Linked DNA regions of Rattus norvegicus. The protein of the gene in region 1 purifies or fractionates together with the protein of each later gene. This does not show direct contact. Links are inferred from orthologs where the notes say so. Each region holds a gene or a part of one and is shown in the gene's direction. Other genes may lie near its edges. The genes, in order: Rhou, Pak1 and Nck2.

Region 1 (3,650 bases):
ATCTGTTGGTAGACTGTAGGACATCCATCCTCACTGACCTGCTCCAGGTCTCTGTACCACGGGACGGTTGTGCATACTCTGCAGTTATGTTGTCTGTCTGAAACACGGTGTGGAAGCTTAGCTGAAGGAAGGGAGAAAAGTAAGAGGAAGGGAAGAAAGATAAGATACAACCAGAACAAGAATGGATTAACCGTTGTCTGGGTGACAGTGAGGGAGGGTGTCTTTAAACTGCCACTGGTAGTGGTCTACATAGATCCCTGTTCTCACTTTGAAGTCTTTCATGTTTCTGAGGAACATGCGTCAGTACTGTGTGCTGGGGCTGGGGGATGAATCGACATCCTTGTGAAGTTGTGACCACAACTGTGTGTTGTGGTCAGGCAGAGCAGGGCTGGACCTCAGAAGGGAGTTCTGTTAATAGAACAGAGTTTAAGAGGTCAAGTCTCGGGCATCAGTGTGGATGAATACTGACTTTCAGAAGAGTCAAGTTCCAGGATTTAAAAAAGAGAGTTGGGGTCACTGTGGGCCAGAGCTCATCTGCTTTAAGTGCCTTTCTATAGCATATGACGTGGTAGTCACGGTCACCAAGAGCGTATTTGGAGTGTTAAGGCTGCACCTGTGTCCCAGGGCAGGCCCGAGACACTGGCCCCTCTTTATAGAAACAGGTTTTCTCTGAGTATCCTGGCCCTGAGGTTGCTTCCTAAGGTGGCAAGAGCTAACGAGGGCTTTGTGCTTGGTTTCAGGATGAGTTTGACAAGCTGAGGCCCCTCTGCTACACCAACACGGACATCTTCCTGCTGTGTTTCAGCGTGGTAAGTCCCACATCCTTCCAGAACGTGGGCGAGAAGTGGGTTCCGGAGATCCGACGTCACTGCCCTAAGGCCCCCATCATCCTGGTCGGGACACAGTCGGACCTCAGGGAAGATGTCAAAGTGCTCATCGAACTGGACAAGTGCAAAGAGAAGCCGGTGCCGGAAGAGGCGGCGAAGCTGTGCGCCGAGGAAGTCAAAGCCGTCTCCTACATTGAATGCTCAGCCTTGACTCAGAAAAACCTCAAGGAGGTTTTCGACGCTGCCATTGTTGCTGGTATCCAGCACTCAGACTCCCAGCAACAGCCAAAGAAGTCTAAAAGCAGGACCCCGGATAAGGTGCGGGACCTGTCCAAGTCTTGGTGGAGGAAATATTGCTGCCTGGCCTGACTCTTCTCAAACGGCTAGTGTTTAAGCTGCAACAGCTCTTTACAATGTGGCTGTGGTCATAGGATGAGCCCTCCAAGCATCCTCTTCCGCCCTCAACTTCCTGTGTGTGTGAGCCCAGGTTGAGATTCATATGCAAAATATGTTTAAAAAATTTTTTTGAAAGTTAAGATTTTTTTTTCCTCGTAAGTCTGAGAACTTAGAGCTCTGGATTAACTTATATTTCATATGAAAAGGGCTCTTCAAAGCTGGGGTGTCAGCATGAAGTCCTGTTTCGTTGTTCAGGACAAAGGAGAACGGGGCCTTCTCCTGATTAAGGGCTACTGAGTGCTCAGTGCGGGATGCGTGTGCATCAGACTTGGCGAGAGTGGGTGCGAACTTTGAAACCACACAAACCATCCCCAGTTTCATAAGAGCAAACATTTGAAAACAGAGAGGGGCTTCTGCTTACAAAACCTCGTGCCCATCCCTTCTGTTTGTTTACTCAGATTCACTTAGGATTTTAAAACAACCAAAACATCCCACAGCCTACTGGCATTGTGTTGACAGAACAGTACACTTGCTTGTTCCTTTTTTTTTTTTTAAAATCACGTGACCAGTTTTGTTGCTGTGAAAATGGTGGAAATGCCTCTTGGGGGGCAAGGGCTGGGTGCACATCTGACATTTTCTTCAGGGAGCGACTCGTGCTGAGATCAGAGAATGCTCTTAGCTTTCAGGACTTCAGGTCATCTTAACATGTGGGATGTACACACTTTGAACCCCAGTGCCTTCAGGGTCCTGTGACTAGGGAGGCACTGTATTAGGGGGGCAGGTATATGCAAGGCCTCACCCAGCAGCTTCTCACTGGGGGTCACGCTTGTGGCACTTGTCCTGTAAGGCGAGGGTCTTCTGACTGTTCTGAGACAGCCCTGTGTGAGGAATGCACTTTCACAGGGTTGGAGGTACTTCCAAGACGCCATAGGAACCACACGTGGGTCACAGCTATCAGTTCACTGCGGGCAAGAAACCTCTTTATGGCCACCTGGTAACAAAAATTTTTCTGTCTGTGAATTTTTTCTTACTATTTAAAAAAAAAAAATCAACCGTATGTTTTTCTATAGGAAAAAAAAGTAAAAGAGCAGGCCGTACTTCAGGTCAAAGACTTCCTCCTGCTGGTAAATAGGACTGAAGACTTTCTTACATAATTAAAAGGCTAATGGCAGAACCACTAGAGTACATGAACTGTTAGCCAGTGATATTAGCCATGTTCTCCTGATGTGTTTCCTTCTGGCCCGAGTGGCAACATTGTTTCACTCATGAAAATGCTTGTAACTGACCTGGTGACTGAGCTTATCCTATTGTGCGTGGCTGTCTGGAGAGCCAGCCTACACGTGGGGCTTTTGCCTGCCCTGTGTACAGAGGGTGGGTGGGGAAGAGTGAGTTATTTAATTTTAAATGTTATAATAAAAAAGCCAATGTAGTCGAGACCAAGGAGATGAGCATCTGAGGACACAAACTTGAAGTCATGGGCCAGGACTGTTGGACCTCCTGCCTCTGGGAAGTGTCGTAAAAAGGACGCTGTGTGATCGAGTTCTGGACACTATTCTGGGATGCATACCCCTGGACTGTTTATGCCACAAATGTAGTGGGTTGACACTGACTGGCAAGTTTTCGATGTTCCTCCATCCTGTGGAGTCATAAGTAAGGTCTGACTGTACTTGAGGTTTTCCTGCATTTTTACGTTTTGAAAATAGAAGTTTGGGCTGAGAAATTTAAAAGCATGTGCCTGGGTGGGATTAAAGTTGGTTCTCTTCAAAGCTGAAAAGCGGCTGGAGGCTCAGCCTGGTGTCTGGGAGGATTCTGTGAGCTGTGTGGAGAGGTGCCTCTTCAGCCTTGCCTCGGTGTAGGCCGACTCACCTCACCCGAAAAGCCACACTGTAGCAGGCTCCAAAATCGTCACCTCAAGCCTGGGTGAGAGCAAACTTTCGATGACTTTGTTTTCTGCTCGACAGACGTGCAAGCAGCTACCCAGAAGTCTCAAGCCAAAAGGGGGGGCTTCGCTCCTCTGCAGGTGCCTTACCAACGTGTGCTCTTCTCTTTCCCGTGTCAAAGATGTCGGACAGGATCTTGTACTTGAAAAATGCTATAAATGAGATGCTATGAAATAAATTCTGACCTGTGGACAGAGCTGCTCTTGTGTATTCTACTGAAAGAATGGAAGCTAAGGTATGCGTTGGCCTGGGCAGGTTAGGAAGCTTCCTTGTGTTCAGGGAAAGCATCTACTATTCCATTTACTCAACACGGCCTTGTGGGCTCTGGGCTTGGTGGGATGGTGGCGACCCTCTGCATTTTGTTTGTTTTGTTTTTTGTTTTCGAGACACGACTTCTCTGTATAACTTCCCTGGCTGTTTTGGAACTTGACTTGTAGCAGGCTGGCCTTGAACTCACAGAGATCCGAGTTTGCATTGAGTGCTTGAA
Region 2 (3,650 bases), on another chromosome or scaffold:
AAGTGTGGTGGCATGTGCCTTTTAAGTTCAGCAGTTGGGTGGCAGAGGCAGGCAGATCTCTGTGAGTTCAAGATCAGCCTGTCTACTTAGTGAGTTTTAGGCAAGTCAGAATCAGGACTACATAGTGAGACTCTGCCTCAAAAAGAAAAGAGAAAGAAAGATAACAGATTTGTCAACACTTTAGAAAGAGTACCTAATACCTAGGAATCTAAAGTATCCTTATCGTTTGTATTAAGTGGGATTGTATTTGACTTATATAAACACAAAGTCCATGAAGATCCTTTTTGCATATAAACATTAGGAACTGCTAAACCATTTCTCCAGCCCCATATTCAGAACTTACTATTCTTTTATTTTTTTAAATTGACTTTCTTTGAACTTCTCGTAGTTTGTTTTGTTTTTCTCTGTCATTTGAAAAGACCGTCTAAACTATGAAACCAGGCTGGTCATCAGTGTACAGTTCTTCTATCTCAGCCTTCTGGGTGCTAGGATAATAGGTAGTACCAACTGTTTTTCTACTGACTCTTTAAAGTGTTTTTTTACATTGAGGTATCAAATTTTGATGTATATCAGAATAGCACAGGGGCTCATTAAAACAGTTTGTGCTTTTCAGTAGGTTTTGAGTAGCACCTGAGAACATTTATTTCCAGCAGTCTTTGAGAAGATGTTAAATGCCACTGGCTAAGAGACTTCCTTCGAAGCCATTTAACATTGATAAGTTATGAATAGTTTAGGGGTAAGACCATGTCTAGCTCATTATTGTTTCCTTAGTATTTAAGGTCTAGTACTAGATGTGTGCGCAGTAAATGTTGTGGCCTTGGTACACATTGGATTTACTGTTATTTCAGGTGGCCATTAAACAGATGAACCTTCAGCAGCAGCCGAAGAAAGAACTCATTATTAATGAGATCCTGGTCATGAGGGAAAACAAAAACCCAAACATTGTGAACTATCTGGACAGGTATGGCATGGGTGGGTTCTGTCACAGATGTTTCAGGCCTTTGGAACCTAAGTGTTAAAGGAGAGGATGAACCGCTTCCATTTAAGTATTTTCTGTGCTGAGCTCCTTGATGCTGGAATCCTTCTGAGTGATGGTTAACCCCACCACCCCTCAGCTTCTAGCAACTAATTCTTTTACTGTGCCTTCTGGTTAGGGAAGTAGGCCTTTTCAGCCCATCTGCCTTATGTCCTTGTTTCATTCTGTATTCCAAGCATTTCCTTACCCTGCTCACCTTCCTGAATAACTCTTATTGTCTATATTCTCTTAAAATGTGAGGCTCACTTCCATCGGGTGTTGTTCTGAAGTCTGACTGCCATAGAAGGAATGATACTCTTTGTTTTCCTAAACTCAACATAAGCTCATCCATCTGCAATCCCCCACCCCAATGCCTGCCTCATTGTTAACTACGAGTAAGTTTGTGGTCAACTGAAATTTATTACCATTTCCTGCCCATATAAACTTGCATTAAACTGGAAATACAAAATATTTTAGCTTACCAGCCTCAACCTCCTGACTGCTGGGATTAATACATGCACCACCATATTTACCATATACTGTTTAGTCTCTATCACCTTAAACTACTGTCAAGCTGGGGTGTGATTACTATTGTAGCTTAGAGATAGAATGCTTGACTAGCCTGTGTGAGGCTCTGAGCTAGCACCACCAGAAGAAAATTACAGAACAGAATTAAAATATCACCTTTGTTTGAGGTAAGTGTTAAACTATCTCAAGTGTCCTCGCCTACTGAGTAAGAAACCCATTTTTAGGATGAAGAAAAGATGACAGAACTCATACCTTAAGCCAACACACGTCTGTTTTCACAGCATAGTAAACCTGTATAGACTTTACAGCTTTTAAAAGATTTATTACCAACCTTTCACTTGCTACATATGTTATGCTGGATTATATTAAAATTATATATTATATATATATATATTTAACATATTATTTTACTCAAGGATTTATTAAGTAAATATTGTTATCATATTGGTATCTGCTGTGCTGGACTAGGGTCTTGAACAAGATCCAATAATTATCTTATGGATCTCAAATCATCTAATAGAACTCTCAAGGAGGTCCTGTGGCCCTCCCTTTTGATGGTAATATGGCTTCCAGGTCCCTGCCTTTTCACGTGTGTGTACTGCCTAGATGCTTTGCAGGCATGGGAATAAAGCCAGTCTTTCTAATTTTAGGAGCTATCCTTTGGTATTTGCTAAGATGTGATATTATATTTTATTTTTTTTTTTTTTTTTTTTTTTTTTTTTGGTTCTTTTTTTCGGAGCTGGGGACCGAACCCAGGACCTTGCGCTTCCTAGGTAAGCGCTCTACCACTGAGCTAAATCCCCAGCCCCTATGTGATATTATATTTTAACCTAGTATTTTTAGTTTTAGTGTGTGGGGGACTTCACAGACCATGTATGCTTTGTTTTTTCTGGGTATATACTTAAGCTACTTAAAATTACTGATTCTGCCCTCCAAATTTTTCTTCAAAGGCTGGCTGAGATAGTTTTCTTTATATTCTAGGTCCCTAGGTTTTGAAACTCACTTCAGTGGCATAATGTGTTCTGACTGTTCCTTCTCACCCTATACCTGTCTTCCTGCAGTTACCTTGTGGGAGATGAGCTATGGGTTGTCATGGAATACTTGGCCGGAGGCTCCTTAACAGATGTGGTGACAGAAACCTGTATGGATGAAGGCCAGATAGCAGCTGTGTGCCGAGAGGTAAGGCCAAAGATCAAACAGGAAGTGACCTCCATATTACCGTCCATAAAAGTTCACACCCAAAAGAGGCTTCAGCATGGGCTCTGTCATAGTAGGAGAAGTTAGTTCTGGGACTTATCATTCACTTTGTATGCTTGTGTTTTATAATTTCTATAATCATGACTTTTTTCTCTGAAGCTAACTGTTCTGACCATGGCAAAAACATTAGAAAGTACCCAGAAGTATCTACTTAAACAGTCATAATTTCAATCTGTAGTTATAACTCTTCTAGCACATACTATTTTCCTTCATCTCTTTTATTTGGACACACATTTGTCCTTGCTTCCTGATTTGTGTACTGTGAATGGAGGAAGTTAACATTGCTAAGGAGGTAGTGGTGTGGTTCAGATAGCTAGTCAGAGAAGATTTCTTCCTTGATTTGAATATGCATCTAAATGACGTGTAGAGGCAAGCCAGCAAAGTTCTAGGATAAAGTAACTCCAGACAAAAAGCCTAGTGTGGTGGCATATACCTGCCATCCTGGCACTGGGAAGGTGGAGGCAGGAAGGTCAGAAGTCTAAGATAATCTTTGATTACATGGCAAGTTCCAGGCCAGCTTGAGATACAAGAGACCCTGCTTCAAACCAGTAAATAATCATAATTTTAGACAAAATAAACAGAAAAAAGGAGCATAAATAATACTTTTTTTCCTCATTGTAGTTAGATCTCTAGAATTCTGTGATGCTGTAATAAACTTTCTAGCAAGTTCCCATGAGAAGCAGTGTCAGCAGAGGATAGGCACATTTTCACATTTCCAAGTCAGAAAGATCATAGTGGGAATAAACAATGCTGAAGTCTGGGGTTTGGCTCTTGAGAGACTGAGGCAGGGTTTCTCCGTGTAGCCCTGACTGTCCTGGCACTCTCCCTTTCTGTAGACAAGGCTGCCCTC
Region 3 (3,650 bases), on another chromosome or scaffold:
CAGGGACTTCAGTAAAGTTTGCTCAAAGGAGACCCCATGTCCAAATCCACATGCCCAGCCTTTCTGGCCTCGCTGCCTGCCTTCAGGTCTAGGAAGCGTCTGCATTTTCTTCTGCTCTTTCCCTAGCACTTAAACATCCCACTGCCTTAAACCAGACAATTGGTTTAGCAGTTCACCTCCTGGAGGGTATCTTTGGTTATTTCCCAGTTTGGGCAATTTGAATAAAGAAGTGAATATCCAAGTATTGCTTTGTTTTACGGTATGATTTTATATTTATAGGAATAGTTCTGTACAGTTATTTATGCAGGAAATTAGCCCCTAGCTAATTTCTCCAGTGTTAACATATTATATTGAATTGTCAAAACTAGCTAGCCTGGGCGCGTCGCTGTTGTCTAGGCTTTGTTTACATTTCAACAGTGTTTTTACAAATTTTCTTGGTGTATTTTACCATCCATCTCCAAATACCTCAGTGCATTGGTAGTACATTAATTGAATTTGAGTTTATAGGAGTGGTTTGGGTGTGTTATATTTATTAAATATCTTCAAAATCCTCAGCATGTGCTGAAAATAGGAGTGCAAACCTATCAGCTGTAAGGGCGGTGTCACTTGCCAAGTGAGCGCTTTAATCATGAGATTATTATTCTGAGTGTTTTGCCCCCAAGTTCGCATCTAGCGTCAGTAAATGCGCAGTGTGCTTAGTGCACTGAGAGGGGCTGCAGGCTTTGATTACAAGATGCTGTTTCTCAGCAGCACTAGGGCCTACGGGTAGGTCATTCTAAGGGCAAGTGCTTCAAGGGGCTGAGAGGAGACCGGGGGCAGTGTGGCCATGGGAGCTGTCGTTGACAGCTTTTCAAATCTGTCAGAGGAGAGGGGTTCAGGTAGCTAATGAGCATCTTTAAATGTTTTGCTGGCAGAAGGGCTCCATGAAAGATGACAGAAGAAGTCATTGTCATAGCCAAGTGGGACTACACTGCCCAGCAGGACCAGGAGCTCGACATCAGGAAGAACGAGCGGCTGTGGCTGCTGGACGACTCCAAGACGTGGTGGCGGGTGAGGAATGCGGCCAACAGGACAGGCTACGTGCCTTCCAACTACGTGGAGCGTAAGAACAGCCTGAAGAAGGGGTCCCTGGTGAAGAATCTCAAGGACACGCTAGGTGAGTGTCCATACCCCACCTGGAATAGCAGGTCGTCCCACAGGAACAGCCAGGGTTAGCACTGCTGCTTCAGTGTGCGTGTGCGTGCATGCGTGCGTGCGTGCGTGCGTGTGTGTCTGTGTCTGTGTCTGTGTGTGTGTGTGTGTTAGATACGTAGTGTGTGTATGCATGTGTTGTGTGTGTGTGTGTTATGTATGTAGTGTGTGTATGCATGTGTAGTGTGTGTGTGTGTGTTAGGTATGTAGTGTGTGTATGCATGTGTAGTGTGTGTGTGTGTGTTAGGTATGTAGTGTGTGTATGCATGTGTAGTGTGTGTGTGTGTGTTAGGTATGTAGTGTGTGTATGCATGTGTAGTGTGTGTGTGTTAGGTATGTAGTGTGTGTATGCATGTGTAGTGTGTGTGCGTGTGTGTGTGTGTGTGCGTGTGTGTCTGTGTCTCTGTGTGTGTGTCTGTGTTAGATACGTAGTGTGTGTATGCATGTGTAGTGTGTGTGTGTGTGTGTGTGTGTGTGTGTGTTAGATACATAGTGTGTGTATGCATGTGTTGTGTGTGTGTGTGTGTGTGGTAGGTGTATAGTGTGTGTGTACGTGTTGTGTGTGATAGGAATGTGTGTAGTGTGTGTGTGTATGTGGCTGTGTATACAGTGTGTTTGTGTGTATGGAGTAGGTATGTATGTATGTTATGGGGTGTGTTATATGTGGTAGGTGTGTAGTGTGTGTGTAGGTGTGTGTGTGTGTTAGATATGTAGTATGTGTTTGCATGTGTAGTATGTGTGTATGTGTGTGGTAGGTGTATAGTGTGTGTGTATGTGCTGTGTGTGGTAGGAATGTGTGTAGTGTATGTATGTGGCTGTGTATTCAGTATGTTTGTGTGTATGGAGTAGGTGTATATGTTGTGGGGTGTATATGTATGTGGTAGGTGTGTAATATGTGTGTGTGTATGGTAGGAATGTGTATAGTATGTGTATGTATGTGGCTGTGTATTCAGTGTGTTTGTGTGTGTGGAGTAGTTGTAGGGTGTGTTGTATATGGTAGGTGCATAGTGTGTGTATAGGTGTGTGTGTATGTATGTGCTATGTGTGTGTATGTGTAGTAGGAGTGTGGGTAGTGTATATATGTGGTGCCTGTGTGTGTGTGTGTGTGTGTGTGTGTGTATGTGTATGTGCTGTGTGTGTGTATGTGTGGTAGGAGTGTGTGTATGTATGTGGTGCATGTGTGTGTGTATGTGTATGTAGTGTATGTGTTTTGGGGCCGGTATTAATGTTGATAGCCTCCTACCTTCTGGGGTTTTATATTGAGATTAAGATAAACACTAATCATTCTCTGGATAAATTATACAGTTTGGGATCTTGGGTAAATCAACTCCTCCTCATGGTGCTAAGGACCCCTACACAGCTGTCTGTCTCCTTGTATCCAGACAGTAGAGGACCCTGACTTAGAATCATGACAAGTTTAGTAGCTTTTTCTGTCAGTGTATCACCTTTTATCTTACAAATTCCCATGCTGGCCTCTGCACACAGAAGGAGAAGGCACTTCTCCCCTCGTCTTCGGTGATAGCATAGTTTATTCTACAGTTTCGGGCAGTTGGTTAATGTGTAGTTGGGGTGATTAGAAACATGACATCAGAAGTCTCTCAGATGGATACCTCCATAAGCCCTGTTTGGTTATCACATTCTTCATAGCTGTGCCTCTTGTCTTCCTCTGGTATATTAGTTCATTTCCTGACACTGTAACAAACTGCTTGAGGTTAGGCTATATAAAGAACACTGCTTAATTTGGCTTACACTCATGGTCCAAAGTCAAGTGGCTGTATGTATATCTCCTTCTTGGCAAATTTTCAGTATGGTACAAGTTCCTTATGGCAAGAGACCAGGAGGGATAAAGAATTGTATGTGTGTGTTTTTGATACTGTTCCCTCTGTAAACAGAATTTATGCAACTGCTATCACCCAAAGGCCCCACTTCTAACCACTGTTATAGGAACCAGTTTCTTCTTTCTTACTACCTCTGTAGGGGATTAAATTCAGCACAAGGTAAGGAGATACATTCGAACCCCAGTAATCCATAGCACCTGATCAGACAGGGGTTCGCTACCTCAGTGGTAGGGAAGCATACCTGAGTGTGTACATTGTCCTCACCAACCATGGTTACTGCCTCAGATTGTCTGAGAATATAATTGGGAGGGCTCTGTGGAAGGACAACTGAACTGAGCTGACAGTTTACAGTTGCTGCCTCCTCAGGTAAAGTATAAAGTTGTCTATAGGCAACAAGGCCAGCTCGCCACTTGAGGTTTGTTGTGGAAGTAAGCCAGTATCATCACCTGGGCTGAGTGTATGTAGGCTTTTTTGTGTGTTACTGGAAGAGAATTAGTTTCATTAGCAGGGGCAGGGTGAGGGGACTATGGGAAAATTGAAAACAAAATCACACTGAGTGTGGTGGGTGTTGCAGGGAATCCGTCTTCTTCCTTGTAAAATCCACAAAGGTCACTGCTCACC

The links.
Region 2: the proteins of Rhou (region 1) and Pak1 purify together in Homo sapiens (co-immunoprecipitation; 5 studies listed by BioGRID and IntAct, with this or other methods). This does not show direct contact. The link is inferred for Rattus norvegicus from reciprocal best matches to the Homo sapiens genes RHOU and PAK1.
Region 3: the proteins of Rhou (region 1) and Nck2 purify together in Homo sapiens (co-immunoprecipitation; 3 studies listed by BioGRID and IntAct, with this or other methods). This does not show direct contact. The link is inferred for Rattus norvegicus from reciprocal best matches to the Homo sapiens genes RHOU and NCK2.

What each region holds. Positions count from the first base shown.
Region 1 is NC_086037.1:68,545,375-68,549,024, forward strand, and holds the end of Rhou (rho-related GTP-binding protein RhoU), read left to right. Parts: intron 1-740; coding exon 741-1,196; 3' UTR 1,197-3,359; downstream 3,360-3,650. UniProt on the Homo sapiens protein: Binds to and activates protein kinase PAK1. Plays a role in the regulation of cell morphology, cytoskeletal organization and focal adhesion assembly during cell migration. Also stimulates quiescent cells to reenter the cell cycle.
Region 2 is NC_086019.1:161,623,407-161,627,056, forward strand, and holds part of Pak1 (serine/threonine-protein kinase PAK 1), read left to right. Parts: intron 1-848; coding exon 849-961; intron 962-2,604; coding exon 2,605-2,722; intron 2,723-3,650. UniProt on the Homo sapiens protein: Protein kinase involved in intracellular signaling pathways downstream of integrins and receptor-type kinases that plays an important role in cytoskeleton dynamics, in cell adhesion, migration, proliferation, apoptosis, mitosis, and in vesicle-mediated transport processes.
Region 3 is NC_086027.1:53,293,963-53,297,612, forward strand, and holds part of Nck2 (cytoplasmic protein NCK2), read left to right. Parts: intron 1-914; 5' UTR 915-930; coding exon 931-1,156; intron 1,157-3,650. UniProt on the Homo sapiens protein: Adapter protein which associates with tyrosine-phosphorylated growth factor receptors or their cellular substrates. Maintains low levels of EIF2S1 phosphorylation by promoting its dephosphorylation by PP1.